7 linked regions of the Mus musculus genome follow. The protein of the gene in region 3 interacts with the protein of the main gene of each other region in a biochemical or structural test. Links are inferred from orthologs where the notes say so. Each region holds a gene or a part of one and is shown on either strand. Other genes may lie near its edges.

Region 1 (4,300 bases), about 43 Mb from region 3:
GCAAGCAAAGTAAAACAAAATAAAATATAAAACAAATTCAAAACAGGTTAGACTAACATTGAGAGGGTTTTTGTTTGTTGTCTTTTAAATTGGGAGAGTTTAGGGTCACAAATATATTTCTATTTTATCTGTAGGTTTAGAAAGGCAACAGCTCAAGTAACTAACGTTCTAGTTTCAAGAAAAAACTTGCTGGGCGGTGGTGGCGCACGCCTTTAATCCTAGCACTTGGTAGGCAGAGGCAGGGGGATTTCTGAGTTCGAGGCCAGCCTGGTCTACAAAGTGGGTTCCAGGACAGCCAGAGCTATACAGAGAAAAACAAAAAAACAAAAAAACAAAAAAAAAAAAAAAACAAAACAAAACAAAAAAACCCCTTAATGCACCAGTCAATGGCAAAATAAAGCACCGCGCTACATCACACATAGTTGTTCATGTGGATTCCCATTCCTTTCTCTGAAGAAACTTTTTAAAGCTGTGTGCATTTAAGTTGCTAAAGTACCAGACTACTGACGGAGTTGATATGTCAAAGATGATGCTGAATTTCTCTGAAAACCACAAAGGAAACCAACAGTCCCACATTAATACTTCGAATAACCCCACCAAAGAGGAAATACAAAAGGGAAATTAAGAGTGTGATAAGGCAGACGTGCCTTTAGCAGGAGTACTTCTAGATTGTCTTTTGACCCTCTCAATCTTGTACCTCAGTTCCTCCTAAACCCTTCCTTTTTCTACAAGGCAAGCAGAAAAAACGATGCAAGGCCTTCGGAGGGAAAACAAACAAAAAACCTTTCATCTTGACTTCTTCACTTCAAGGGGCCCAAACGTCAGCTTTCATAGCTGTCAAGAAGAGTCACAGTGCCTGTCCGGGTTCCCTATTACGAGGATCAAATACAATGCTGTCCCACTCTAAGTGAGAGCCACCATTCCTGGGAGAATTGCCAACACAACTCAGGTTCGGTTCTACTCGCGCGGCAAGGCTGGTTCGACCTACAGTCAACAGGAAGCTTCTGCGGCCAGACGAGAACCAAGGTGTCAGCACTGCCCTGATGGCTCACGCGGTTCGACTGTGATTTTACTATCAGTGACAAAGGGTGCGGAGGCACAAAGCTGAGAAATGAACAGTCAACCTTTCTCCAAAGAACCCCAACCCCGATCACCCTCCGAAAACAAAGCCCCACACCCCTCAGTGTTTCGGTGAGCCAGGCGGAGCCCCGCTTCGCCCGTTGCGGTAGTCGGCGTGCGGGCAAGGCAGGGAACCACATGCCGCTGCTGCTTTCTCCTCACGCCCCCTCGGGAGCACGCCTGACCCCTGGCGCCATGTTGGGCCGGCAGGCACGACACGGCCGGGCCTCCCAGCGGCCCGCGGACCCCGCGCAGAGCTCCCGCGCCGGAAGGCGCTCCCAGCAGACAGCAGAGCGCGAGTTCCGGTGAGCGGGCGCGCGCAGGTAGCCGCAACCCCCGCCCCGCGCGCGATCCGGAGCGGAGGGGCGGGGCCGGCGGCGAGAGGAGGAGAGAGGGAGGCCGCGGGGTGCGGGCGTCCGGGAGTTCCCTCCTCCTCAAGTAAAGCGTCCCGGGCCGGCTGCGCCGCCGTCGCTGCCTCCTGGCGCCCCGCGACCTGGAGGTGGAGAAGGGAGAGGGACCCGCGGGCGTCCACCTCGGCCGGCCGCCTTCTCCCCGCGGCGACCCGTGCGAGTGCGGCCGGACTCAGGTAAGCTCGCGGCGTGGCCTCGCGACGTAGGCAGCTGACCCGGACCGGGCAGCTCTAGGCCTCGGCATCCACCCTCCTGCTCCCGGGCTTCTCGAGGCGCCGCCGCCCCTGCCGCTGTCCGCCTACTGGTCCCGGAGTCTGGAAGTTGAGGAGAAACTTCTCCCCTCCCGCGGTCTGGCTGGCGGGCGTGAGTGTCTCGTCTCCTGGGCTCACTACCTGCTTGCCCAGTGCCTCGGTCTCCGCCCTGTCCAGTACTTCCCGATTCTGCGGGAGTCCGGATAGTGGTCCAGCCTATGTGGTGCCGCCGCTGCACCCTCCACCCCAAAGGACGTGGGGTCACTCCCGAATGAGGACCAGAGGGTAGGGCAGCGGCCCCTTCTCGTCCTAGCGGCTGGAGGTCTGTGTCGCCGGACGCCCGCAGCAACTGTCTGGAGCGAGGAGTGGAACTCGTGGAGCGAGCGGGTGAGCGGCGGGTTGTACTTGGTTTGATTGCAAACCACGACCTGTTTATAAAGTTTTCCTTTGTTTGGGTTTGAGGGTGTTGGGACGTGTTACAATCAGCGGCCACTTTTAAGTGCCTTGCCACTCCGCCTCCCCGTGAGTTCGGTTCTCTGTCCTCCTGTGTCAACGAAAATTTTGTTTGTGTTTTGCTTCTTGATAATTGCTTCCAGCTTTTGCTTTATTGGGCTTGAGAAAGAGTTGTTTTTAAAAAGTGGGAATATCGTTTCTGGTATAGGGATTGTGAATGGGGCATAGCGTAGTTTTGATGTAGTTATTCTTTGCATAAGTGATTGGAACAGCAGTGGAAATGACAGTTATCAAAGTAAATAAACGAAAAGTATGCAGTTGAAACATAACTTTGTACCTCTCTTGTGTGTTCCACAGCTGTGTTTTTTACATGTGATTTCACAGGATATTTCGGTATGGTATATTCATGTATTTCGTGTAAAATTACTGACCAAAATTGGCAATTGAAAGTGAGTTTAAACATCCTGTTAAATTTCTAAATTTAAATTACTCACTAATGAAAATGTTATTAAGTGTGCATGTGTGACTCAATTTAAGGCCAAATGTGTGCTACCTCTATTAACCAGCACAATGGTGTGGACTAGAAACATTTTGAGTGGGCAGATAGGGAGTGTTAAATTAAAAGCCAAAGTTCTTATATGCAACATATATGAGAGAGAATACAACTGTAGGAAAGTTGTTCTTCAGGAATTTTTTCCGCTTGCTAAATGCATTTAGCTATATCTTATTTTTGAATACCAGCAAAACCTCAGTGAAAATGTAGATGCTGGTTGACATTTCAGTAGGTCCTAAATTTAGGGGAGGGAGAAGATTGCCTTTGATTGAAACTTAGATACAAGACTGTTTATATTCCATATTTCCAGGATAAAATAAAAGCTTTTAAAATGTGTGCTTTGCCATAAAACTACGGTAATGTTATACCTTTAATTTTGTAGCTAGTTTTTGCTGACTTCACAAACCACAAAATTGACTCCTTTCTGTTCAACTGAAAGTGAAATTACAGCCTTGACCTGTCTTCTTGGGATAGGTGTGAAATTTATCTCATGGCCAAAGGATAATATTAATATATAGTCAAAAATTGTTTTTAGTTGAAGAAATTCTCAAAAAAACCCATTGTCTTTGCAAATAAAATTTTATTTCATTGCATATATAAATAAAAGAATATGCTAAAAGAGTAGTGAAATATTACTACTTGTATACTTGTTTAAATCCTTGTTTACTTACAGTTCAAATTTGCATAGTTCTAACAGTAATAGCATACTACTGTGGGTAATTTAAAAAAATATATTTTATTTATATAAGTACACTGTCGCTGTCTTCAGACACCAGAAGAGGGCATCAGATCCCATTACAGATGGTTGTGAGCCACCATGTGGTTGCTGGGAATTGAACTCAGGATCTCCGGAAGAGCAGTCAATGCTCTTAACTGCTGAGCCAACTCTCCAGCCTTGGTAATTTTTAAAAAAAATATATTGAGCTTCCAATTTAGTGGTTCAGGTTGGTGTGAGCATCATTTATTAGTCTTATTACTTATTACCATTGTTTAGGAAAGAAACCTGAGCAGATTTTTTTTTTTTTTTTTTTTTTTGAAGAGCATTGCTAGGTTCTGATGTCTAGGGATGCAAATTTAAGTGATAAAACTATTAAAAAAAAAACTACAAGGAAGTGATGCTTCTATCCTTGGGGTCTTGGAGGTGTTAGTTTTAATTTAATTTATGAGCTCATACATTTGTGTGTTTGTTACCTGGGTTTTATATTTTACATAAAAATATTTTTAAGAAGCCTGAATGTAATGCAGTATAGAAGGTGCTTAGGTTAAGTTAATAATTTTCAAGATAATCTGGTTTCCTGTCACATCCTTTAATCTTTTCCCTGTTGATTAAAAATTTTAGTCATTGGTGTCTAGCTTAAGGGCACTCCCTGGGCTCTTCTTTGCTAACAGGTTTAGACTTCTTGCATCATAAATATCATATACTAGTTTGTGTGTGAAAATACCACACACACACACACACACACACACACACTCACACAAAAAAATCTAATAAAAAAAAGTTAAAAAAAAAGAAA
Region 2 (4,018 bases), on a different chromosome or scaffold from region 3:
TGACAATAACACTTCTCTTAAAAGATCTGTCTTGGGCTGGAGAGATGGCTCAGCAGGTAAGAGCACTGACTGCTCTTCAGAAGGTCCTGAGTTCAAATCCCAGCAACCACATGGTGGCTCACAGCCATCCGTAATGAGATTGGATGCACTCTTCTGATGTGTCTGAAGACAGCTACAGTGTACTTACATATAATAAATAAATCTTTTAAAAAAAAACTGTCTTGAAAAAAACAAAAACAAAAACAAGGAAATGTCCTCTGTACCCTGATCTTCTCATGCTCCTGCCTCAGCTTCTCCCAAGGCTTGGATTGCAGGCTATGTCCTTCAACCCCAAGGGCCAGTGCCGTTTCAACACATATACTTCTCAGGTAGCCCAGGCTGGCCTTAAATTGACTACGTAGCTGAGGATAACCTTAACTCCTGATCCTTCTGCTTCTGCCTCTCCAGTGCTGAGGTGACAGGCCTGTGACACCACAGTGTGTCACCCATTGAGCCCCAGTCCCCACTTTTGGATCTTTGCTAACTGTAGGTACTAGAATAAACATCTGTACAAAGTCCACTGGTAAGACAATTGGAGGAGGTCTCGCTAGGCCCGTGCCAGAGCGAGTCAGAAAGCAGTTGGTTACTGCAGAGCACTTGGACCACTACTGCACCCGTGGGGCATCTGCCGGCAGTGTGGGTGGTGGCTGATGGTGACAGGAGGGAGGGAGCCTGTGACTCAGACACTGTCATCAGCAATAGGGTCCGAGAAAAGTGGAACTTTGGGCTGCCTTGGTTCCAAGTCTCTGGGCCTCCCTGGCCAAGGACTCCTCAGTGGGTACCTGCATCTGCCTGGGGACTTGTGATTAAGGACTGTGGCTTCTGGCCGTGTCATGTCCATCAGGGTGCTTCTAGGCACCTCTGCCCAAACGTGCTTAATTACTTAATTGGGTTTTATTTGCTTTTTTTTTTTTTTTTTTTTTTTTTTTTTTTTTTTTGAGGCAAGTTCTTACTCTGTAGCTCTCTATTTTAGCCCAGGCAGGGTTCCAACTCACAGAGATCCTCCTGCTTCTGCCTCCGGAGGGCTGGGAGGATGTTTGAGTGCTCCACAGCTGGCATGTCTGAAAGTACAGGCAGACCAGGCAGGGCCGCAGCTTGCCTTGGTCTCCTTCCCGGACAGGGAGCTCCTTCCTACTCCTAGCACCTGCGCGCGTGCCCGAGCCATTCCGCGCTCCCAGCTTTCCCAGGGTGGGCGAAGGAAGGCTAGGATTCAGCGGGGACCCGAGAGCACCCGGCACTTGGTACTCAGCACTCTGCCCGGACGGAGTGGGAGGCGCAGCGGGAGGAGGTGGCAGCGCGGTCTTAGTGAGACCGGCGCTAGGACCCGCGGGGGCTCCGAGCCGGGTCCCCTCCATCCTTGCCCCAAAATGAGGAAGCCTTGCAAGTTGCTCCGAGTTGAGCCACTGGGTGCTCGACCCGCTGGCAGGGACCCTCCGAGGGTCGCGCCCTAAGCAGGTGAGCGTGTGTGCGTGGGTGGAGGGGGACACCACTCTCGAAACGGTCCTGGACCCGGGGGCGTCGGGTGCAACGGGCTGGTTTTTGTTTTATTTTGGTTTTTTTCTGGGTGCGGCGTGCAAGTCTCTGAGTGCGCGAGTCCCGGTGGTCACTGCAGGGCCCTTGTGCACCACAGGCACCAGCACAGGTGTACGCGTCTCACTGGCGCCCTTGTCGCACACACGGGGGTGGCTGGTGGCACCTGTGCCCAGATGCACGTGCGCCTCCGCCTGCGTGGCTGCCGTGCAAACCCCACTGAGTCTGAGGCCAGGAGCGCACCCCAACCTCCCGCCCTGCCCCCCTGCCAGCCACCAGCCGGGGATCCGGGCAGCCCTGCAGTGCCTGCGCTGGGATGGGGTGGGTCCCCTCAAGATGCTTCTTTGGTGACCCGTTGCGACCCGAGGAGCCAGGAGCTATACGGGAGCCTGGCCTCCTCAGGTTCCGCTTAGGGTCAGATTCCCAGGAATGACCTTGAGTCACGGCCCCTGCCCACAGCCTCCTCTGCCCACGCCCAGGAAAGAGGAAGCCACAGGCCCAGTTCTTTCTCACACACAGCCCTGGCTGCCACCTGGGCCAGATCACTCCATTCCTGACTCTGGGCCTCAGTTTCCCTTCCCGAGCAATGGCAAGGCGAAGCTCCCGGGTCTCCTGGCTGGCCTTTGAAGGCTGGGAATCTAGGGACCTGCCTCGGGTAATGATCACTGTCCCTAAAGCCAAGGGCTGCAGAGGGGCTCCACACCTAAGCCATCCAAGGGATGATTTGAGGGAGGCGCTTTGCTTCCTGGATGCTGCTGCCACCAGGCCAGACCCTGAGGAAAGAGCTGGACCTGGGGACACTCCCAGCATGACACTGCCTTCCTTCACAGGTGAGCCCTAGATTGTTCGGAGCTTGGCACCCCGCGCCTGCTGCAGCTAGGATGCCAACGGTGAGTGTGGGGCCCTGAGTCACCAAACCTTTTCAACTGTCCCCTTTTGGGGGGGAACATGCCCCTCCCCACTTGAGCAAGCACCCACACCTGACAGTCCCCAAGGACCCCTCTCCCCCCACCCGCCAAAATGGCTTCACGTGACTATAATTCTGCCTCTCTCTATAACTCTGTTTCCCTCCCCCCTTCCTTTCTGTATTAGACATTATCCCCAGGCCTCTATTCTTTATTTTAATTTATTCTTGAGACAGGGTCTCAATGTGTAGGTATGCCTGGCTTGGGACCTGAGAGTCTCCAGGCTAGCCTCAAACTCAGAGATCCACTTTCCTCTGCTACCCCCACCCCTGCCCTGAGTTCTGGGATTACAAGTGTTGGCCAGCACTCCTGGCATCATCATCTTTTAATTTTTGAGACAAAGTCTCACTGTAGCCCAGGATGGGCCTTTGGCTGGTTTGGAGTCCTCCTGGCTCAGCTTTCTGAGAGCTAGGCTACAGGCCTGTGTCTTCACTATTCCCTTGTCCGGTCTTCTATCCTCACCAGCCCCAGCTTTCTCTCAGGTCTCTCTGTCCCTCCCAATTCCCACTTGTCCCTGTGTTCAGTCCCTGACATACCTCTGCCTCTGTCTCCTTCCCAGCAGCGCTGGGCCCCTGGGACTCAATGCATGACCAAGTGTGAGAACTCTCGCCCCAAGCCCGGTGAGCTAGCCTTTCGAAAGGGTGACATGGTGACCATCTTGGAGGCCTGTGAGGTGAGAGGGGAGCTGGAGGGTAGGTGGTGTGCCTTGGGGGTGCCAGGGCCGACACCCACCAGCTCCTTCCCCACATCTGTTCCCTTCCTGTACAGGACAAGAGCTGGTACCGAGCCAAGCACCATGGCAGTGGGCAGGAAGGGCTGCTGGCGGCCGCTGCTCTGCGACAGCGGGAGGCCCTCTCCACAGACCCCAAGCTCAGCCTCATGCCGTGAGTGGCACCCTGGGGGGTGGTGTGAGAGGCTCAGCCCCCTCTACCCCTGCCTTACACAGCCCCCTCTCCACACACATCCCTACAGATGGTTTCATGGCAAGATCTCCGGCCAGGAAGCCATACAGCAGCTGCAGCCACCCGAGGACGGGCTGTTCCTTGTGAGGGAATCAGCTCGTCACCCTGGAGACTATGTCTTGTGTGTCAGTTTCGGCCGTGACGTCATCCACTACCGTGTTTTGCATCGAGATGGGCACCTCACCATCGATGAGGCCGTGTGTTTCTGTAACCTGATGGACATGGTGGAGGTGACGTGTGGGGCAAGGCTGGGGAAGGAGGGATGGAAATATGGATGGTGGCCCCAGGAACTGTCACTTCTTTCTCTAGAACTGGGGTCACCTCCCCAGGGAGCTCTATGTTCACACCAACCACCCCTCAGTTTCCATTCTACAACCCCCACTGTTGCCATGGAAACCCGATCACCTTAGCCTGGCACTTAGAGGAGGAGTCTGGCAACCTCACTGAAACTTGGGGTGGGATGGTGGGAGCGGTCCTGCAGGGCAGAGGCTCATGGCCGGCGGCCTCCACAGCACTACACCA
Region 3 (4,204 bases):
CAGATTCTGGTGAGTTGTATAATGGATGCACAGTTGGGCACACGGAGCTGAGCTCCGGTTCCTTCACTGGCTGTTTTGGGCAAGTGACTTATTCTCCAATTGGAAAACAATGGTGGAATAGGAATAGACACTGTAGTGGTCTAACCTCCTGGGCCCCTGAGTACAGAAATGGCAGGCAAAGCCCTCAGTATGGGGAGCCTTGCAGACATTTACTGATTGTGAAGCCCCAAGTATGCACAAAACACATCCATGATATGATATTTAAAGCACAGTAGGAAGAGTGTTGCAAAAGCATGGCATACATGATTTATAACGTCATACGAATGTGTGGATGGATGGGGAGAGCCCAGAATGGGGGAGACGTGGAATTATTGAGGATCTCTTCAAGGAACTATCAGATTATCTCCAGCAGGATCGTAAGCCAGAATGCCAGGTGCGTGAATGACCATGAATGACTAGGGACTTGCACCTGCAGGAACAGGGGGTGTGGGGAGGGGGAGGAGGTCTGATTCACTGTTCTAGGACCATCCTGTTGAGCTGTAAACCCACTGTGAATGCCCCGGAAGGAGGGGTTACTGCAGAGCAGGCACTGGTTAGCCCTCCAAAGGTTACAGCATAAACAAAAACACAAAACTGCTTCCTGCAAAGCCTGGAGCAAAACCGTAACACACACACACACACACACACACACACACACACACCCCAAAAGGCCCTTAGACAAGAAAGCTGCTTTCTGAAATTGTGAACTCCTCAGATCCTTCGTGATGCAAATGTCTTCAAGTACCTTCCGTGGAAACCAAAGTCCCCCCCAACACACACCCACTCCCAATTTAAATGACCGCCCAAGGGCACAAAACCAAGGAGGCAGAATGGCTGAAAAGGAGGCCTGAAACGGGAGAGACAGAGAAAGGAATTACAACACACCCTGTGCCAGGAATCAGACCTTCAAATTCCCTCTGCCAAAAAGTTATTGGCCAGAGCAGACTAATCAGGGGGAAAATGCAAACCATTGACTCGTTTCTGTTTTCAAAAGGGAACTGTGATCTTTGTGGCGTTCCACCTTGCTCTAAAGCAGAACAAGGTGGAAAACGTAAAAGATCACTGGGGTCATTTTCAGCTAAGTGGTCAAATATGCCTAGGAATCTGAACACTCATTTGTGACCCTTGGTGACCCCTCTTCTGTGCGCGCAGAGGTCCAGATGCAAGACTTCCCCCACAAAAAAAAAGCCCTCTCCCAGCCTTTCAAAAGCATCTAGGGAGTGAGATCTGGAAAACGCAGTCAGCGGTGGGCTCAAAACAGGTCACAGAGATGCTGGCCATCTGACGCCTTATTGCAGCGTGCAGATTGTCTCTAGCCTATAGCATCAAGGTAACCTAAAAGGGTTTCTGGTTTTTGTTTTGAAAATGACCTAGGAGGGAGCAGGGCTTCAGGACTAAGCAGGCAACCTGCACGGGCAGTGCACCAGCGACACCTGGCAAAAAAAGGGGCAGGGCTGAGGAGCTCCGGAACCTTAAGATCTTGAGACCCAAGTTACCCTGCAAAAGGTAACAAGATTTTCCCAACAGCTTGAAGAAACAAATGCTATTTGCAGAAAGCTTACCCCTTCTCCCCCACCCCCTAGCCTCCCCAGGCAGCCCTGAGTATGGCTATCACGTGGGAGAGGGTTTCTGGATCTCGGGATTCCCCTCCAAAAAAAAAAAAAAAAAAAAAAAACGGCCACCTGCGATTACAAGTCGCATACACTGAAACCAGAGGTTTCCAAAGCTGGGGAGAACTGACTCGGTCCTGGTCCAGCGCGCACGAGGTGGCAAGAACAGCTGCGTCCCCGCACGCAGTCCCTGATTCCCAGAAGCTGGCGACCAACGTAGGCTACAGCAGCTCCCTGGCGCGTGGCAGCAACGAACACCGTGCGGCTGCAGAGAGGGGCGAGCCCCTAGCACGAGATTTACAAAAGGAAAAAGTCTGCAACCTAGCGGCTGCTCGCCACACGCCCGGCTCAAGTTGTCCCCATAGCCGCCACCTACAGGCTCGTGGGGTCCCGCCCCAGAGCCTCACGCCGCGTGCTCCCCGTGCAAAAAACGGAGTTGGGTGGGGGCAAGCAAGCCCGAGATTCGTCTCCTCGGGTGGCGCCGCGCACGATGAGAGCGGCTGCAGTTGCGTCCCCAGCACTGTGCACAAAGAGCGCCCGAGGTGGGGAAGCAGCGGCCGCAAGAAAAGGCTCTCCAACTTTGCCCGGCGTGTGTCCGGGACCCGTGGGCTGGTTGTCCCAGGCGTCGGTCACCCACGCGCAACTTTTAACAAAAAGGAAGCCGTGGCCGCACCTCGCTCGGAGAGAGGACGCTCTCGGTGCGAAGCCCGAGGCCGCCCGCCCCTGCCACCCGCGCGCAGTCGGCACAAAAGCATCACCAAACTCGCCCGCAGCCTGCAGCTCGCTGCCTGGGTTCCCAGAAGACCCTCGGCCCCGGGTCTCCACCACCCGGGCTGAGGTCTCTCAGCTCAGGTGAGCGAGGCGGGCCACCAGAGTCCCGCGGCCGCCTACCACCTTCGAGGTGGTAGGCATGGGAAAAGCCAACAGCTACCACTCCGGACGCACCCAGGTGGCACCCCTCCCGGACCCGGGCTGCGCCCACAGAGGGTGCAGTCCTCTTGTCTGCCGCTCTTTCCCACCTGTCTGGCCACGGAGCAGGACCAACAGGACGCAGAGCAGATCCCAGGCGCCGCGAGCGCCTCTCATCGCGGTGGCTGCGCTAGACTCTGAGCTCCTCTCTCTGCTACAGCTCTCGCCCAAGTGCACCGAGCGCGGCAAAGCCGAGCCCCCAGAGCCACTAGCGGCGCGCGACAGCCCCTCCTCCAGCCCTCCTCCCAGCTCGTGGCCACGCCCCTCCCTTCTCCCGCCCGGGTCGCACTCCCTCCCGCTGCCTAGTGCCCGGGGCTCTCGGGCTGCAATAAGCTGATCCCGGGGGCGCTGTGCCCTCTAAGACCAGGAGCCCCCACAGGCCCTCCACCCTGGATCCTCTTCCTCCTAGCACTCTCCCTCCATCGGTGGTCCTTCAGTCCAGGCGGCTGGCTGGCCACGCAGGTGCTGCCCGCGCTTTGTGAAGCCCAGCGCCACGAGCGCATTAGGTACGGGCCAGCCACCTGGCAGGTGCTCCCTAGACAATAAAGGACAACCACCGGTCCCTCCAGCAAGCTCCGGAGCGGGGAGAATATATTCGGCTTATGGTGGAGGTGTTACTAGTCGGGATTGCCGGGCGAAGGGATTAGGAAACTGGGTCCCCAACATTTATTTCTGTTCCTGTTGGTAGAGGAGGACGGATCGTGGCACCCCTGACCTCAGTAAAAGACCGAGCCCACGTTTAAGTAATTTTTCATGCTCAGTTTCTCCACCTGCTGCGAAACCTGTAAGAATACAGCTGATTTCTATTGGCCAGCGTGGACCTCCACCCAGCCAAGCTCCTGCTGAGACTTGTGGAAACTGGGCCAGTGGACTACAGAGGCATCCTGTGAAGGAGTTAGCTTTGAAACTCGGTTTTTAAAACCTATTTGCATTTGGGTGCCTTTTCTCTTGTGTTAATTATTTTTTTAATCTCACCCTCAACACCCCCCCCCCGCCCCATCCCCTCTGAGTCCCCCTTTCCCCAACTCGATCCGACTGTGGTCTGCCTTAGGAGCAAGATAAAAGCAAAATAATTTCCTTTTAAAGTTTTTTTTTAATGTGTATGAGTGTTTTACTTACATGAATATGTGTGTGTGCCACGTGTGTGACTAGTGCCCAGGGAGGTCAGAAGGATGTCAGATCTCCTGAAACTAGAGTTACGGATGCTTGTGTATCATCTTGTGGGTGCCTGGAGCCCAACTACTCTTGTTCTTTGTTTGTTTCTTTGTTTGTTTGTTTGTTTGTTTCGAGACAGGGTTACTGGCTGTCCTGGAACTCACTTTGTAGACCAGGCTGCCTCGAACTCAGAAATTCGCCTGCCTCTGCCTCCCAAGTGCTGGGATTAAAGTCATGCGCCAACTTTCTTGTTCTTAACTAATTGACCCAACTCTCCAACTCCTAAAGTAATTCTCTTAAGACAATTTCTACCTAGGGACATTTCACAGTCACTGTGGCTATCCGGGGGTGGACAGTAACAATCTGGGTTTTTATAGTATCCGGGTCTACAGTTAACGTTATGAAGTAGAGAAGATAAACGTTTGTTTTGG
Region 4 (4,245 bases), on a different chromosome or scaffold from region 3:
ACTCCTGGCAGGGTCTGGCTTCTGCCCACTCCTCCTGCCAGTCTGGACAAACAGGATGGATGGCTCTCAAACCTGGTTTGCAAAACAGCCACCTGAGGGCTTGTCAATATCTCACATTCCTGGGGCTCTGCCTCCTCAGTGCTTTGAGACTCTGGTAGCTGAGGAGGGGCCCACGGGTCTGCTCTTTCCAGAGCAGCTTAAGAGACTGTGTTCCCCCCTTTTAAGAGCTGCAGTGTTTTCCCTCCACCCCTCCCGTACCTGCAAGACCTGCCCAGACTACCTGATGGCCTCCGTTCCTGTCCACCCCCACTCTCTTCTGCATTCCCTCCCAGCAGCTGCTTCTCCACACTGGGGGTCCACCATGGCAGGTTAACCCCTCTGGTTCCCACTCACTGCCAGGTCCTCCCTGGCTTTGTTTTCATGGCCTTCCCTGCCTCCTGTGAGTCACTCACCTGGCAAACTTGTCACCTGTCATTTCTTATTTGTGTGACTCTTAAAGGTCAGTCTCCCCGACTGGGTTGCAGCCAGCAAAGGGCGGGTCTGTTTTTGTTGTTTTGCTCTGTATACCCAGCGCCAAGCACAGGTCTGCTAGGTTGGAAATGAGGAAATTGTCTCCTGCAATTTGTTCAAATTGCTTCCTGGCCCAAGCAACCTGCCCCTTCCTCACCTTTTTGCTTTGCTCTATTCATACTAGTCTGTCTGATGTCTGTCTGTCTGTCGTCACTCTGTTTTTGAAACAGGGCTTCTCTGTACAGTCCTCACTGTCCATGTAGACCATGCTGGCCTCGAACTCACAGAGATCCACCTGCCCCTGCCCCTAGAGAGCTGGGATTAAAAGGCACACACTTCCACGGTGGCTTTCCACATTAGTTTTTCAAGCGGAAAAGCTAAGGGAGGCTGTGCTTCCTCAGGGCAGACCCCTTATCGCCCCAGTGGCTTGTTTGTTTTCTTAACTCTTAGCCATAGGAAGCTGGGAGGTGGCCCGCTGCCTTTGATCTGGGGACTCTCAACCCCTCTTCCTGATCCTCCAATGTTTGCTGTGAGCTGAACCAGAAAGCTGGAGTAACTGCTGTAATAGAAGCCATCTGCATCAGGCCACAACGGTCACCAGAACTGTGGCCCCTCCCACTAGGCCACCTTGCCACTCTTAAACTTGAAACTAGGAAGGTGAGACCCTGGACTTGCCTCGGAAGAGAGGGTGCACCTTGGGTATTTTAGCAGGGCCAGGACAACAGCCTGGGCGGCTGGACTGTGGTTGGAGGTCAAAGGGCAGAGCACCTCTTCTGGCTTCCCTTTTAAGCCCAGTGCCCTTTGCCCTAGGGGGTGAGATCCGAGCTGAAGACGGCCCCCTAGCTTGACCAATGAACTGACCATCATTGGAATGGGACGAGTAGGAGTGGGCGGGACCATTCGCGTTTAACAAACAGCCTCCAAACTCCCCTTCCCATGTAGTCAGGATTCTAGATTTTTCTCTGTCCAGCCTGTTCTCTCCGGGGCACCTGCTCTCTCTCTCTCTCTCCCTCTCTCCTAGCACCTGCTGCTCAGTAGGAAGGGCAAGAGCAATTCGAGGCGGTGCATTGTGAGGAGTCTCCACCCCTCCTCCTGCGCTTCCTTCTCCAGGGAGCCTCTCAGGCTCCGCCCTTACCTGCCCGAGATAATTTTAGTTTCCCTGGGCCTGGAATCTGGATACGCAGGGCTCGCTCTATATTCTCCCGCCTCAACATTCCAAAGGCGGGATAGCCTTTCTACCATCTGTAGAGAAGAGAGAAAGGATTCGAAATCAAATCTAAGTGTCTGGGATCTCTAGACAGAGCCAGACTTTGGGCCGGGTGTCCGGCTCCTTCTGTTGGAGGTGCTCCAGGTAAGCCGACCGAGATCGGTCTTAGATAATCTGCTCCTACCCCCAGCCTCACCGAGGGCCCCAGGTTGTGCCTGCATCGAGCGGATCTGGCCTGCTGCCCAGTTAGATGGCCGGGAGGCTGCCACGCTCTCCCCCCTGACCGCCCTCTCTCGGCGAGGTCAGGCCAGAGGCGGGGGGTGGGGGTGGGGGTGGGGGAGAAGGGGGGTGGGTGATAGTTAAGGCCTGGAATCTTCCTCCCTAAACCGGTGGCCTCAGGCAGGTGAGCTATGGTCTGGGTAAAGGCGGAAGCGGGAACTTCATCTTGGGGGATGGGATGGGATGGGATGGGATGCAAGTTAGGTCTGGGTCCCTAAGGAAAGAGTCACACTCCTGATGCTCTCTGCGCTGCATTGTTTGTTTTGTTTGTTGCTTGGCATCACCAATCCTTCCCCTTCCTCATCTTGCTCCCTGAGACCCGAGGTAAGGTCTCTCCATCACCTGAAATCTTGACTTTCCGGCTAAAACTAGTTCTTACCCAACACCAGTTAGTAGGGGGTGCTAGATCCGGAGGTTGCCCTTCAATACCTTATTGAGCTCAGTTTACTACAATCTGGGGTTCCCATTCGGAGGGGAGTAAGGGAGAGCGACTCCCGCAATGGTTGGAACTGCATCTCTCCACGTTGTGGTCCCATCTCCGATACGGAAGCTCAGCAGGCTGCGGATCCCTCCTGGCTGCAAATGAGTGTGGACAAAGAAAGCTAGAGGGGTGGGTGTAGTGTGAAGGTCTGCAGTTCGGGGCCTGGAAAACAGTGTATGGCCGGGTATGTGGGCCTGCCTGAGGCTGAAGTTGGGGGAAAGACCTAGTTAGGTCTGGGTTTTCATGGTAGGATGGAGACAGAGTGCATCTGAGGGACAGCTGATAGTATTTTCAACCTTTTCTCCCTCTTTTCCCCCCAAGAATGCAATGCCTTCTGGGTCATGAGTCTGTCTAGCTTGGACTCTGCTCTCCCCCAATAGCGCGTGCTAATGTGTGTGTGTGTGTGTGTGTGTGTGTGTGTGTTTGTGTTCTCCCCGAAGGCAAACTAATGATTAACTCTACAGAGAACTCTAGCATTCTTCCCAAATTAAACATTAAAAGAGTTGTCCCGCCCGCTTTATTTCATTGGATGTTCCCACCCCCCCCCCAACCCCGGCGGAATGGGTGGAGCATCAACTTTGGGTCAACTCAGGGTTTCCTACCTCCCCACCTGCTCCCGGTACCCGGAAAGGTTAAGCCCCCCCCCCCCCCCACTTCCCTCCCCAAGTCCTGATGGGTGTTAGCTTCCTGTGCTGGTCCAGAGCCGGATCTCAGGCTGCCCAGGCCAGCAGCTCAGTGTCTGCCCCACGAACCCTTCGCCTCATCTTGGGAAGAGGAGATGGTGGCCTTGTTTGCAGTTGGCCCCAAACATTAGGCCTTGCCACTCGCCCCTGGGGCTTTCTAGGTGGGGCAAGATTCAGGAAGTAAACAAGGCAGCAGGGAGGGTAGGAGAGAGGGTGGGGCAGGAGCTGCTGGGGCTGGAGAGCCAGAGTTTGGAGTGGCCTAGCTGAGAGGACAAATTGGTTGGGGGACCAGTTTCTCCAACGGAACCTTTGCTTAGGCCCTAGTTTGAATGTTTTCCATCTTTTGGGCAGGCCCCACAGCAGGCTCCCCTGCCTCATCTCAAATTTTAGTTACTCTACCGTCCCCTAGAGCTGTCCATCTTAAGGGTGTGGTGGAGGGATCTGGAAGCTAACCCTAGTTTAGCCTGCACCTGAGCTTCTAACATCAGACTGTAATCTGACTTCAATCTACTTCCTCCCGTTTCAAACACCTGTCTAACTGGGTGTTGTTTTCTCCATTTGAGGGAGGGGCACCCTTGCTGATGCTCCCACCTCTGCTTGAAAAAGGAGATTAGGTGAGTGGGAGTGGGTGCCCGGTGTTGATGTTCCTTGCTTGGTGTCTTGAGGATGCTAAGTGTCAGATGGGTCTTGCTTGCTCTTCTTGGCTGTCCTGGGGGGTGCTTTGCTGCCTGCCTGCCTGTCTTCTTGGGTGTTTTAACTCCACTTCTGCCTGGTGATACCCCTCAGGTCAGGACACCCCAGAGTGTGTTTAGAGACCCTCTCCCACAGAGCAATCCCTGGGACTAGATATACAATCACCATCATATATCTTGGGATAGTTAACAGCAAACAGAGTTGTAGGTTCCAGACCCAGGCCAGGCAGGGCTGGATGCTGCTTGTCTATCACCAGGAGGTGGGCTCCAATCCTGATAGGCTCCTGGATCCAGGCCGGGCGTTTCTTCTCTCCTTCCTGGGCTATGGGCAGGGAGATGGTTCAGGACTAGAGGTGGGTAGATGATTATTCCCACCTGAGCTGGACACTGGCC
Region 5 (4,025 bases), about 46 Mb from region 3:
GGGTGGGTGGGTGGGGGCTTCTTCCAAGCCATTTTGCTACCAGGCTCCAGCTTGCTGCCGTCCGATTGTAGTGGAAATCCCCACCTACGGGGGAGTCCCTTCTTCGGGCTCCAACAGCAGGCCCGGGGACTGAATTCAGCCCGGTTGGTTAGGCTGCTCTAATGTGAGCAACTCACTTCTTCCAGTCCCTGAGTGGGCTGGAGACACGTGTTATTTCCATTTCATAGATGAAAAAACTGAGTTGGAGGGGGTCAAATATTTGGTCCCACGCAGCAAGGGGAAGGCTCCAGGGAGCCAGCGGCTCGTGGGAGCCTGTCGTCTGGGAAGGCTTGCAGTGGCCCCTCCAAGCTGGGGGCGTGGGCGGCCTGCTTCCTGTTGGGGGAGGGGGAGGGGACAGGCATTCCTCTTTCCCCTCCCTCCGTAGAGTCGCGGGGAAGACTGGCGTGCAGTGAGTGACTCCACTTCAGAACAGGGGCACCCCACTGTTAGCCAATGTGGCGATAGAGAAAAGGTAAAGGGCTAAGGGGCGCGCAGGCGTGGACGTTCAAAGGGCTCGGCTGCCTGGGATGCGAAGGAGCTCTTGGAGAAAGTTTCATCAAGCTAGAGAATGCGGCCGGGCGGCCAGGTAGAGAACAGCCTACTCGGCCCGTTCCGGGACTCCGAGGACCTTAGGAGGGGAGCGGACTTCAAATGGATGGCGCCGCGGAGGCAGGACGGCTCGGCGGAGTCATGGATAGTGGGGCCAGGGTGGGGCTGGCCCCTTCCCCTGGAGGTGATGAAAACCGCGGTCGCAGTTGCTAGACCCGGCCGGGCAAGCTCAGATAAGGTTGGGCTTGGAGGGAGTCCGCAGGGGCGCGCCCCTAGGAGGTCCCGAAGGTCGGGGCAGCCACGCCCATCGCGCGCCTAGCCCCGCCCCACCCCTTCTAGGGGCCCCGCCTTGCCGAGGCACGCGGTGACTGGCCAGCGCGAGAGGGGCGGGACCGAGCACGCTCCTCCCCTTCGAGATTCTTTATTTTATTATTATTTTTTTTCCCTTCTTTAGGGGGCGCGACGCAACTTGGGTGCAGAGAGCGCGCCTTATGGGGGCGGAGCTTGTCGCTATGCTACCTCCCACCGGGCAGCGGGCGGAGGCGCGAGAGGAGGGCGGGGCCGGGATAGGCTCCGCCCCCGGCCTCCGCAGGCGGCCCCGGGGCGTGGCTCTCTGTGGCCACGCCCCCAGGCCGCCCTCCGCCGCCGCGCGCGGCTCGCGGCTGGTTCCTCTTTACATAACGGCGTGGGGCGGCATGGGCTCGGGCCGTCGCCTCCGCCTGGCCGCTCTCCAGCCCAGACTGTCACGGGCCACACGGGGTCCACATCGGCGGCGGCAGCAGCAGCAGCGTCCTGGGGACGGCCCGAGGCCGCGTCCCCCGGCTGCTGTCAGGAGCTGGCGGCGGAAATGAGGCGCTGGCCGTTTTCCGAGCCGGGGTTTCCTGCCTGAGCGCCGAGAGGCCGTGCGACGCCATGGGCCGGCCGGGCCCCGACCCGCAGCTTGCGCGGTAAGCGCGGCCCGCCGAGCGTGTTGGAGGAACTGGGCCGGGCGGCCGTCCCCGGGTCCCGCTTCTGTTTTCTGGCGTTTCCTCATTCTGTTTCTCTTCCCCAATCCCAGACCGCAGTGATGTGGGCGCGGAGGTCAGTGCTTTCAGCTGGGGCCTCCGGAGAGGAGCCTGGCGGGGCGCCGCGGGAGGAACCGAGAGCTGTCCCGGCACACAGCGTGCTTGGGCCCCTGCCGGGGGGGGGGGTGTGCTGGCGGTGAGGGTGGGAGGGGGGGACACGTGTGTCACTAGTGCCCCGGTGATCAACCAAGGATGATATGCGGAGTCCTAAAGGTGAAATCAGCCAGAGATGGGGGAAGGGGGTGGGACAGGCCATGACAGGCCAGGGCCCGCTGGGGGAAGTTGAGGTTATAAGAGTTTTATGCTCTTAGGACACTTTCTGAACCTTGTTCCCCAGGCCTCCTCTGGGAGGAAACGCCATCTGAGCCAGGAGGGGTGAATACATTCTGGAACTTGTGCAGTCCCAATGGGTGGTCAGCTGGGAAGGGGCTGGCCCGCAGCAGCGGCAGCAGCTGTGGTTTGGGGATCTCAAGGGCTGGGCAGTGACAAGAGAGGAAACCGAGGGTCCTAGAGGCAGAACTTGTGTTCTTTCTCCTCTGCTCTCCAAGATGAGGGTCGCGACCTCAGTTTCCCCGCTGTTCAGTGAGTGAGAAGAGATTTGTGGTGCAGTTACAATGAGGTGGAGTTTTAATGAATGCTGTGTGGAAGGCACCTGCGTCCGGCTGGGAGAAGGGCTCAGTTACAGGCCGTTGGGAGAAGACCTCAGTTACAGGCCGTTGGTTTTCAGACTGTCCAGTTTTATTGACCCTGGCCCTGGGACCGTCCTCGGCTCTCTCCTGAGCATAGCTGCTCTGGGGTTTCCCGAGTCTGTGGGCAGGGAACTCTGAAGGACCCTGGGCAGGGTCAGATGACAAACCCCTTCCTGGCCTGGGTTCCCTCAGTTGACACCTAACTTGTGAGGGCCACCAGAGCACAGGATGGCTTGATCAGGAGGGCAGGCAGTCATGACAAGGGTGTTATCTGTTTTGTTGAGGTCATTTGCTGCTCCTCTTCCTTCCTGACTCTCTGGCACCAAATGTCACCCAGTGCCTGGTCCTCATCGTTCAAAATGTTCTTAGAGAAGTGACGGTCCTTTCCTTTGAGTAGCTGGGCTGTGCCATCAGCTTGTGTGCCTCAGGCTGTCTAGGCTAGTTGGGCCACCATCTGGTTTCTCCCACTTCTGCGATAGAGCTGAAGGTGCTTGGGAGCCCCTTCCGGCTGCCTGGGCCTGTATCACACCCTTTCCAGAGCAGGTCTCTGGGGGTCCAGCCCACATTGTGAGGCTAGTCAGCTGCTGAATGTCCCATTGCTGTGACTCTTTGGGTGGGCACTTCTGTGAGGCAATGAAAAAGTCATCAAGAGCGGGAAGGGTTTTAACTGCTGGCACGAGGAGATGGGACAGATAGTACTGTTAAAACTAAAACGAGAGGTCTTTCCTTTCAAGTCCTCATTTCTCCCTGGAGCAGCACTTGTGTGGAGACTAATCCAGACTCTGCTAGCTTCAGGGGTGAGGCCCTGGGCAAGTTACCTGACATCTCTTGGGACCTGCCCAGTGTCAGCCAAGTCTTGTGCCTCTCTAGGTGGTTGTGCACTATGTAGGAGCCCAACAAGGAGAAGACATTTGAAGCAGGTAGGCAGTAACTGGCCTGACTCTGAGATCTTAGGCTTGGGTTGTGCTGTCTCAGAGTTACAGGTGTTCTTGGAAGTCTGAAGTGGAGGTGCTGAAGGACAGAGTCGGGGAGAGGCATGCAGTATTGGCATGTTAGTGCTCAATAAATTTAAGCTATTGCTATTAATCCATTGCTATTAATCCAGGAGTGGCTGGCCCTTAATTGCCAGGTTTCCTGGGAAAACGGTCCCCAGGGCCCCTTGGGTGTTGAGCATCTCTGGTTGGGCAGAGCAGGAAGCAGCTTCCATCTGGAGTTTCTGGAGGGGCTGCTCCTTCCTGCCAGGCCTGTTCCCGGCCACCCACCCTCCCCGAGGAAACTGAGGCTGGCACACCGCTTAGGGGAAATGACTCAGTGGGGGTCACTAGCTGAGTCATACCTAGTTGGACCCAGGAGCCTTGCACCCCAGCTTCCAGCTTCCGGGGGCTTGAGGTCCTTCAGGGACCGGGTACACCTCAGGCCTGGTTGCATGCCCTTGGGCACTGTTAGACACCACCTGCTTGCGCCCCATGATCTGGACAACCTGTGTCTCTTGGTCAGTGATCTAGGGATCTCAGTGACGCCCCCGCCCCCACCTCCTGCATTGAGCTCTCCAGCCCAGTACCATTCTCATTGGGACAAGAGACAAGTCCCTAAGGGACCTGATGGCCTGCCCCGCCCTGGCCAGCCGGAAACCCCAGCAGCTGAGCAGATGGCTGAAAGATTTTTCCTCCCACACAACCCTGTC
Region 6 (3,500 bases), on a different chromosome or scaffold from region 3:
TGGAGGGAATGGTGAAAGAGGCATCACTGTCAATTACAGGAGGTTGGAAAACATCTTAAGATAATGGTTTTATTTAGCTGTAGGTAAAATACTAAAAGCATTCGAGAAAACTAAGGGATCTGAGATTCAGAATAAAGTGAAAAGTTAGATCGAAGGCTGCCAGGGAAAGGCATGTAGTGTTGGTGAACAGGAAGCAGCATCGCAAACAGAGATTTCAGAAATAACACGACAGAGAATGTATTCACAGAGCCGAAGACAAAAAAAGAGTGTGATCATCGCCACTCAGCCAACACATAATAGAGACACCAGACACAGGTGAGAAAGGCGATCTCCAAAGGATGTAAGGACACCAATAGAAAAGGGAACCTAGGCAAATGTGCCTTCCCAGACACTATTCATAGGTAAAGACGTAAGAGTGAAGACACAGTGGAAGGCCAGAAATTACGACACATCTGGAACACACTGAATGGGAGGTGCAGCCCATCTCGGAACATCTCCTTAAAGAACACCTCCCTACAGATGTTAGAGTCCTGCATAGGCACAGCATGAGAAAGGACGACACCAAGCTTGTTGGAGCACACAGTTAGGAGAACAAAATACCTTATCTCATTATCCTCTTCATTAATCTGTATATTTTCAACTGCCCTTGTAAGACTTGACTGTTTCTTCTGGAAAAACAAAAAGAGTGACACCTATTGTAGAAACCCCAGTGACGGCTGCAATTCTTGAGGTCAGCACTCTACACTGTTACTATTAAAGGCAACTGAGCCACCGTCACCGGTGCTTGTCTTTTAGCAATCAAAATATTTGTGGGTGTGTACAGTGAAAGCCCGGGCAGCTCAGTGTTCATAGGCTGTTCTATAAATAGCAATCAAATTAAAAAGATAATTATTAATGCAGAGTCATCATGATTTGGCACCTTTGGAATTTTAGACAGACCAGTAAGACCACAAAAGAGAGGGCACTCAAAAGAGCAGCCACAGAAAGGCACATCTGTTTGGCTGTAAAGCACAGCATATGAGTATTGATATTTTTTCTTTCTTTTTATATTTAATTCAGACCATTAAACTGGGCCCCAGCCCTTAAGTGTGCCTTGTCTGTAGTAGGGGACACACCTCCAATGCACAATGGTGGACACTTCCCTAACGTTTGAATTTCTTTGAGGCCCTATGTTATAGTAAGAATGATTGTTTCTTCAAATTTTTTGAAAAAGTGCCATATATATATATATATATATATGTATATATATATATATGTATATATATATGTGTGTGTGTGTGTGTGTGTGTGTGTGTGTGTATGTGTATATATATAAAACAAGTATATAAAGTTGATGATGAGGTAGAAAGAAAAACAATGCTCACCTTCCAGTATAAGGCTCCAAAAGCAAAGCCAATTACAAGCGAAATGAGAGCCGGCAATGCCATGGCTGTCCATTGTAGGCCCGAGTCTTCAGGGGCCTTTGCGGCTTTCCCTGCAAATCAAAGAACATGGTGGTAAAGAACTCAGCTGTATTCCAGAGGTCTGCCAGATAGGTTGAGGTTGCTCCCAAAGGATTCCATAATGACGTGCACAGCCTTTTACAGTTTTCAAAAAAATGAAGCAGGGCTTTCTGTTCAATTTTGTTTCTGCAAGCAGTGTAAGTCCATATAATCTCTAAAAGACAAAAGTGTTTAAAGGAAGAGGAGGAGAGGAAGAGGAAGAGGAAGAGGAAGAGGAAGAGGAGGAGGAGGAGGAGGAGGAGGAGGAGGAGGAGGAAGAAGAAGAAGAAGAAGGAGAAGAAGAAGAAGAAGAAGAAGAAGAAGAAGAAGAAGAAGAAGAAGAAGAAGAAGAAGAAGAAGAAGAAGCAGAAGAAGAAGAAGAAGAAATCCAACAGGCAGGAAGAGACTTAATGCAGTTAAGGTTCATGCATGTTTGGAATCCAGGCTTGATATATTCCTGAGCAGAAAAGATTTCTACCATCAAGCAAATCTTTTTTCTCTAATCGATTACCTTAATATTATTTAGCTGTCTTGCTCTTAGCATTCTGACCCCCAATTTAAAAGAACTTTGCAAGATGGATCGGATTCTGCACGCATTCAGCTAGGGTTAGTCTGATGCAGACAGCAAATCATTAAATGCATCCTGCAGATACAGCACTTTAAGCAGCCTTAAACTTGGGGCTCTTGGCTCACTCACACCCTCAGTCCACACAGGGGAGCAGGAATTTCTTTCTTGTTTTTCATTTTACATTGGAAAGTTTGAAACTACTCTGAAGAATGACTAAAGCCACCAGTGTCATCCTGCAGGAAATAACACTTTAGTTAAAAAAATAAATGGCCCTGACTGTTGATACCTTCCCTGGCCTTGTTTTGCCTTGAGAAGTTGAATGAGTCCCACGATGGTCTTTCTCCCAAAGTGAGCCAGACTAGGACCGATTTCCCTAGAGGACTCATTTATAAAGAACAATTTCCCTATTTGGAAATACTGGAGCATTTGCTAGCCTGAAATTCCCTTTCAAAGAAATTATACCTTTCCAACAACTACAGGCCACAAATCAAAACAGGATCAAGGTAGAGGGACTGCTTTTAAGTAGCTTTGTAACAGGAATTTGGTCACAAGGTGAGCTTACAATTACTTACTTAGCAGCTAACACCCCTCCAAGGAGGAGATCCACTGTGTAGGTACACCCCATGTTGATAAGGGGAAAAACTCATAGGTTTATTCTAGAAGGTAAGAAACAAATCATATCTACTATAGTGAGAACAGGGCTCTGCTATTCCTCCCAATACTTGTGGATGCCAAGGAGAGAATTTCCTAATTCCCCATTTCCTGTCCTCCCCAAATCACATTTGTTCGTGAGCTCCTTCCTGCGCATGCGTGTTAGAGGGAATGCTTAGGGATGGGTGCTCAGTATGAGATGCAGGGGTTGTGTGGGGGAGCTGTCTGAAATATTGTCATCCACCAACATAACAATAAACTGCTTCCTCACGACAAAACTAACAGTTCTCTGGCCTGCCACATCATACTACAGCCTCAGGATAGGCATGTTTTAGGCATCCCAAATTGGGAACCGATATTCATTTATCTCTCCAAAGCAAAATAGCTACCTTAGTCTCAAAGAGATTGAGAATGACCAAAGGTGTGATGTACATCACAGTCTACCAATAAATAAGTTGGCTATTTGCATTTGTATTCCCCTGCTGTGGCCACTACTGTCTACTGGGACTGTTCACACTGGAACTACTACTGCTCAACACAAGTTGTAGTGTCTAAAATACAGCAACATTCCCATTTAGGGACCCTAAAGACAGGGGGAAGAAAAGGGGTGATAGTCTTTCTCCAGAGCTCATTGCTGCTCCTATTATTTCATGGTTGGAAACCTGGCCTCAGTTCTTCCGGGCATGCTAATAATGCTTAGAGAGAGAGGATATCTTTATCAAAAAAGGCTAGCTTACACTATCTCTTGGGAGAACTTCAGCACCTCGACCAGGGCTCTCCAGCAGAAATGGATGCCTCAG
Region 7 (3,500 bases), on a different chromosome or scaffold from region 3:
AACTCGAGACTGTATACTTAGTGAGCCTGGAGCATACACACAGACACAGATCTGTGAAATGGCTTACAAACTAATGTTTTTGTTCTATTTTAGTTTTTGAAGTATGGCTTCACTATATAACCCAGACAGGCCTTGAAGTTACAGTAATCCTCCTGCCTCTTCCTTCTCAGTGCTAGAATTATAGGTATAAATCTAAAATTAAATTTTTAAAATTTTAAGCTGAAAATAAAATTGTGTTGATTCTTAAGTTGGGAATGAGAAAGCACTGGGGCTCACACAAATGTCGGGTTGATGCCCATAAAGAAAGCCTAGATGCACACACTGCCTGCAGCCAGCAACTCCTGATGAAAGGCAGGGGCATGAGAGAAAGTGCTGCTCTTTATTCTTCCTTAGTGTGCATTTAGGCTACTTTAATTTAAACCCACTGCTTTATAGCTTTAAAGAAAAGAGGGTGAATATGGTCAGAAAGCATTATATGAAATTCTCAAAAGAGTAATTGTTTAAAAAGTATGTACTGAGCCGGGCGTGGTGGCGCACACCTTTAATCCCAGCACTCGGGAGGCAGAGGCAGGCGGATTTCTGAGTTCGAGGCCAGCCTGGTCTACAAAGTGAGTTCCAGGACATCTAGGGCTACACAGAGAAACCCTGTCTTGAAAAAACAAAAACAAAACAAAACAAAAAGTATGTACTGGGCTGGAGAAATGGCTCAGCAGGTGAGAGCACCGACTGCTCTTCCAGAGGTCCTGAGTTCAAACCCCAGCAACCACATGGTGGCTCACAACCATCTGCAATGGTATCCAATTCCCTTTTCTGGTGTGTCTGAAGACAGCTACAGTGTACTCATATACCTGAAATAAATAAATAAAGCATGTGATTGGTGATCGGGGAAGGGAGAGGAAGATGGGTGCTGAGAACATTTGCCCTTCCCTGGTGAGTGTGGAGGTGAGGGAGCTGTCACTGGGGATCAGCCTATGGCCATGACTAGATGCTGCTGGACCATCCATAGAGTGAGCGAAGCTTCTCTGGTCTCTTTTGAGGTGATTCCGTCTGTTGGTAGGGAATTTCCCTGGTGTGGCTGCTCCCTGGGCACTGTAGGCTTCATTCTTAAGCATCTGTAGCAACAGGAAGGTGTCTCCATGGTGTGTGTGGCATCAGAGATGCAGAGTGAGAAGGATTTGAAACCTAGACTTGGGAGTGTTTAGACTCCCGCAGTCTCTGGGCACCCTGCCCTGCAGCTTCATGTCTTTGCCTGAATCTTAGTTTTAATCTGGCAGAATTTTTTTTTAAAAATACTTTGCAGGGTAGTTGTTTATTAAGCCAGCTGTGAGCTCTGCCTGTGGCAAATGCCTATAATTCTCAGGTCTTGGTAGGCCGTTGTTGACCAGACATAAAACCCTGATTCAAAGCAGACACCAGCCTTGGTGGCTTCCTCTTACATTTTCACCTCTCAGATAGCTAAGCAGGAGTGTGGGATTCCGAGGCAGCCATATTGGTGCACAGACTTGTAGGATGGCATGGGCTGCCATATGAGGGCTGCCTCAGAACAGCTTAACAGACCCCAGTAGGGCTACACAGATGTTCAGCAAGCAAGGCACTTGTCACACAAGCCAGGTGACCTGGATTTCATCCCTGGAATTCACAAAAGGCTGTCAGAACAGAATGACACCCCCCACCCCCCAGGGTTGTCTTCTAACCCCCATGTGGATACACGGTGGCTTTAGAAAATGAAAAGATGATTATAAAGTTAGCTTTAGGTGGCAGTAATAACAAATAACCATGAAAACATTATTATTTTATGTATATAGGTGTTTTACCTATGTGTATGTCTCTTTGTCACAGGCCTTCAGAGGCCAGAATTGGGCATCATTCTCTCCGGGAACTGGACTTGTAGGTGGTTGTGAGCTGGTATGTGGGTGCTGGGAACTGAACCCATGTCCTTGGGGCGAAAAGCCAGGACTCGTAAGTGCTGAGCTGTTCCTCTAGCTTGAAATAAAAAATTGTAAATATGATTATGAAAGTTATGTTCTTGGTGAGCATACACGAGGCCTGAGGTTCAGCACCCAGCACCACATAAAACCAGGCATGGTGGGATACACCTATGGCATAATAGCTGTAATGAAATGAGGCTTTGTCACTAATAGACAGTCTGGTACTGTTGTGATTAGTTATCATTGCATGTTTAAATTTTTCAGATACCAGGGCTGGCGAGATGGCTCAGTGGGTAGGAGCACTTACTGCTCTTCTGAAGGTCCTGAGTTCAAATCTCAACAACCACATGGTGGCTCATAACCACCCATAATGTTAGGAGTGGCATGTCTGAAGACAGCTACAGTATACTTATGTATAATAAGCAGGAGCAAGGACTGAGCAAGTGGAGTTGACTGGAGTGAGTGGGGGCAACCGGGGTGGGCAGAGGTCCTAAAAAAATTCAATTCCAAACAACCACATGAAGGCTCACAACCATCTGTTCAGCTTCAGTGTACTATATACATAAAATAAATAATAATTTAAAAAAATTTTTTTTCAGATACCATAAGGTAATGGGCTTTGGTTTTTCGAGACAGTCCCACTGTGTAGTTCTAGCTGTCCTGAAACTATGTAGACCAGGCTGACCTGGAACCAAAGAGATCACCTTTGTCTGCCTTCTGGGTGCTGGGATAAAGGCGTGCATCACTGCCACAACCTAGACTCTAATTCCTCACAATGCAAGCCTCCCTTCTTGCTTTTGCAGAATCCACCCTTCTACAGCTGCGAAGTTGTAGGCCTTCCCAGCCTTTCCCTGCACTCCTATTATGAAATGGCTTTGAAAGGCCTGTCTTCCCTCTGCCCTTATCTTGGGTGTCAGGGCTTTCCTAGGTCCCTCCTGATGAGTGAGAGGCAGGAGGGCTTTGTCCTCAGAAACTGGCTTTCAGACTGCATGTTGGGAATGGTCTCCTTGGAGACTGAAGAGTGGCCTGTGTTGCTGCCTTGAATTATGATCTAGAGTGTGGAGTAAGCGAAGCTGTTTGAAAGCTCCATCTCTCAGGAAGGCCCTGAGCCAGGTAAGAGCCCCAGGGAGCCTTAGGCAGGAGACCCGCAGGTAAAGAGCTCCCCTCTGTCTCTGACAAGCACTCACTACAGGAGCGCTCTCATTTACATGCCAGGTTGTACATCCCGTCTCTTTGTGGGGAAGCAGATGGTGACCAGCTTGCCTTCCTTCCTTAGGTGGTTTTTTGGCAAAATCCCCAGAGCCAAGGCAGAAGAAATGCTCAGCAAACAGCGGCATGACGGGGCCTTCCTGATCCGAGAGAGCGAGAGCGCTCCTGGGGACTTCTCCCTGTCCGTCAAGTAAGTGTTTCCTGCTGGCCTTGCCAGAGAAGCTGCTGCCTTTGACTGGATTGTAAGGCTGTGGGGAAGATGTTAACACATCTTTTCCTGTGGAAATCCTAGTGTTTGCTCTAAGGCCTAGTTGTAGCAGATCTGAGGTTTTAGGTTTGAAGTGTCATGAACCTGGGGGAGCT

What was found.
Region 1: the proteins of Kit (region 3) and Yes1 form a complex in vitro, tested with the Homo sapiens proteins (2 studies listed by BioGRID and IntAct, with this or other methods). The link is inferred for Mus musculus from reciprocal best matches to the Homo sapiens genes KIT and YES1.
Region 2: the proteins of Kit (region 3) and Matk form a complex in vitro, tested with the Homo sapiens proteins (2 studies listed by BioGRID). The link is inferred for Mus musculus from reciprocal best matches to the Homo sapiens genes KIT and MATK.
Region 4: the proteins of Kit (region 3) and Grb7 form a complex in vitro, tested with the Homo sapiens proteins (3 studies listed by BioGRID and IntAct, with this or other methods). The link is inferred for Mus musculus from reciprocal best matches to the Homo sapiens genes KIT and GRB7.
Region 5: the proteins of Kit (region 3) and Sh2b3 form a complex in vitro, tested with the Homo sapiens proteins (2 studies listed by BioGRID and IntAct, with this or other methods). The link is inferred for Mus musculus from reciprocal best matches to the Homo sapiens genes KIT and SH2B3.
Region 6: the proteins of Kit (region 3) and Kitl form a complex in vitro, tested with the Homo sapiens proteins (3 studies listed by BioGRID and IntAct, with this or other methods). The link is inferred for Mus musculus from reciprocal best matches to the Homo sapiens genes KIT and KITLG.
Region 7: the proteins of Kit (region 3) and Grb2 form a complex in vitro, tested with the Homo sapiens proteins (5 studies listed by BioGRID and IntAct, with this or other methods). The link is inferred for Mus musculus from reciprocal best matches to the Homo sapiens genes KIT and GRB2.

What each region holds. Positions count from the first base shown.
Region 1 is NC_000071.6:32,609,671-32,613,970, forward strand, and holds the start of Yes1 (tyrosine-protein kinase Yes), read left to right. Parts: upstream 1-1,500; 5' UTR 1,501-1,553; coding exon of another isoform or gene 1,554-2,382; intron 2,383-4,300. Other genes in the region: Gm10461 (collagen alpha-1(II) chain), read right to left, coding at 1,554-2,382. UniProt on the Homo sapiens protein: Non-receptor protein tyrosine kinase that is involved in the regulation of cell growth and survival, apoptosis, cell-cell adhesion, cytoskeleton remodeling, and differentiation.
Region 2 is NC_000076.6:81,256,081-81,260,098, forward strand, and holds the start of Matk (megakaryocyte-associated tyrosine-protein kinase), read left to right. Parts: upstream 1-1,218; 5' UTR 1,219-1,494; intron 1,495-1,749; exon of another isoform or gene 1,750-1,890; intron 1,891-1,960; exon of another isoform or gene 1,961-2,155; coding exon of another isoform or gene 2,156-2,224; intron 2,225-2,399; coding exon of another isoform or gene 2,400-2,450; coding exon 2,451-2,459; intron 2,460-3,093; coding exon of another isoform or gene 3,094-3,096; coding exon 3,097-3,207; intron 3,208-3,302; coding exon 3,303-3,418; intron 3,419-3,506; coding exon 3,507-3,726; intron 3,727-4,008; coding exon 4,009-4,018.
Region 3 is NC_000071.6:75,573,583-75,577,786, reverse strand, and holds the start of Kit (mast/stem cell growth factor receptor Kit isoform 1 precursor), read right to left. Parts: upstream 2,801-4,204; 5' UTR 2,736-2,800; coding exon 2,669-2,735; intron 2,045-2,668; exon of another isoform or gene 1,741-2,044; coding exon of another isoform or gene 1,722-1,740; intron 1-1,721. UniProt on the Homo sapiens protein: Tyrosine-protein kinase that acts as a cell-surface receptor for the cytokine KITLG/SCF and plays an essential role in the regulation of cell survival and proliferation, hematopoiesis, stem cell maintenance, gametogenesis, mast cell development, migration and function, and in melanogenesis.
Region 4 is NC_000077.6:98,445,389-98,449,633, forward strand, and holds the start of Grb7 (growth factor receptor-bound protein 7), read left to right. Parts: upstream 1-1,445; 5' UTR 1,446-1,861; intron 1,862-2,096; exon of another isoform or gene 2,097-2,120; intron 2,121-3,409; exon of another isoform or gene 3,410-4,245. UniProt on the Homo sapiens protein: Adapter protein that interacts with the cytoplasmic domain of numerous receptor kinases and modulates down-stream signaling. Promotes activation of down-stream protein kinases, including STAT3, AKT1, MAPK1 and/or MAPK3. Promotes activation of HRAS.
Region 5 is NC_000071.6:121,834,060-121,838,084, reverse strand, and holds the start of Sh2b3 (SH2B adapter protein 3), read left to right. Parts: upstream 1-1,225; 5' UTR 1,226-1,535; exon of another isoform or gene 1,536-1,668; intron 1,669-1,825; exon of another isoform or gene 1,826-1,865; intron 1,866-1,980; exon of another isoform or gene 1,981-3,261; intron 3,262-4,025. UniProt on the Homo sapiens protein: Links T-cell receptor activation signal to phospholipase C-gamma-1, GRB2 and phosphatidylinositol 3-kinase.
Region 6 is NC_000076.6:100,085,321-100,088,820, reverse strand, and holds part of Kitl (kit ligand isoform 1 precursor), read right to left. Parts: intron 1,475-3,500; coding exon 1,365-1,474; intron 669-1,364; coding exon 601-668; intron 1-600. UniProt on the Homo sapiens protein: Ligand for the receptor-type protein-tyrosine kinase KIT. Plays an essential role in the regulation of cell survival and proliferation, hematopoiesis, stem cell maintenance, gametogenesis, mast cell development, migration and function, and in melanogenesis.
Region 7 is NC_000077.6:115,649,598-115,653,097, reverse strand, and holds part of Grb2 (growth factor receptor-bound protein 2), read left to right. Parts: intron 1-3,204; coding exon 3,205-3,327; intron 3,328-3,500. UniProt on the Homo sapiens protein: Non-enzymatic adapter protein that plays a pivotal role in precisely regulated signaling cascades from cell surface receptors to cellular responses, including signaling transduction and gene expression.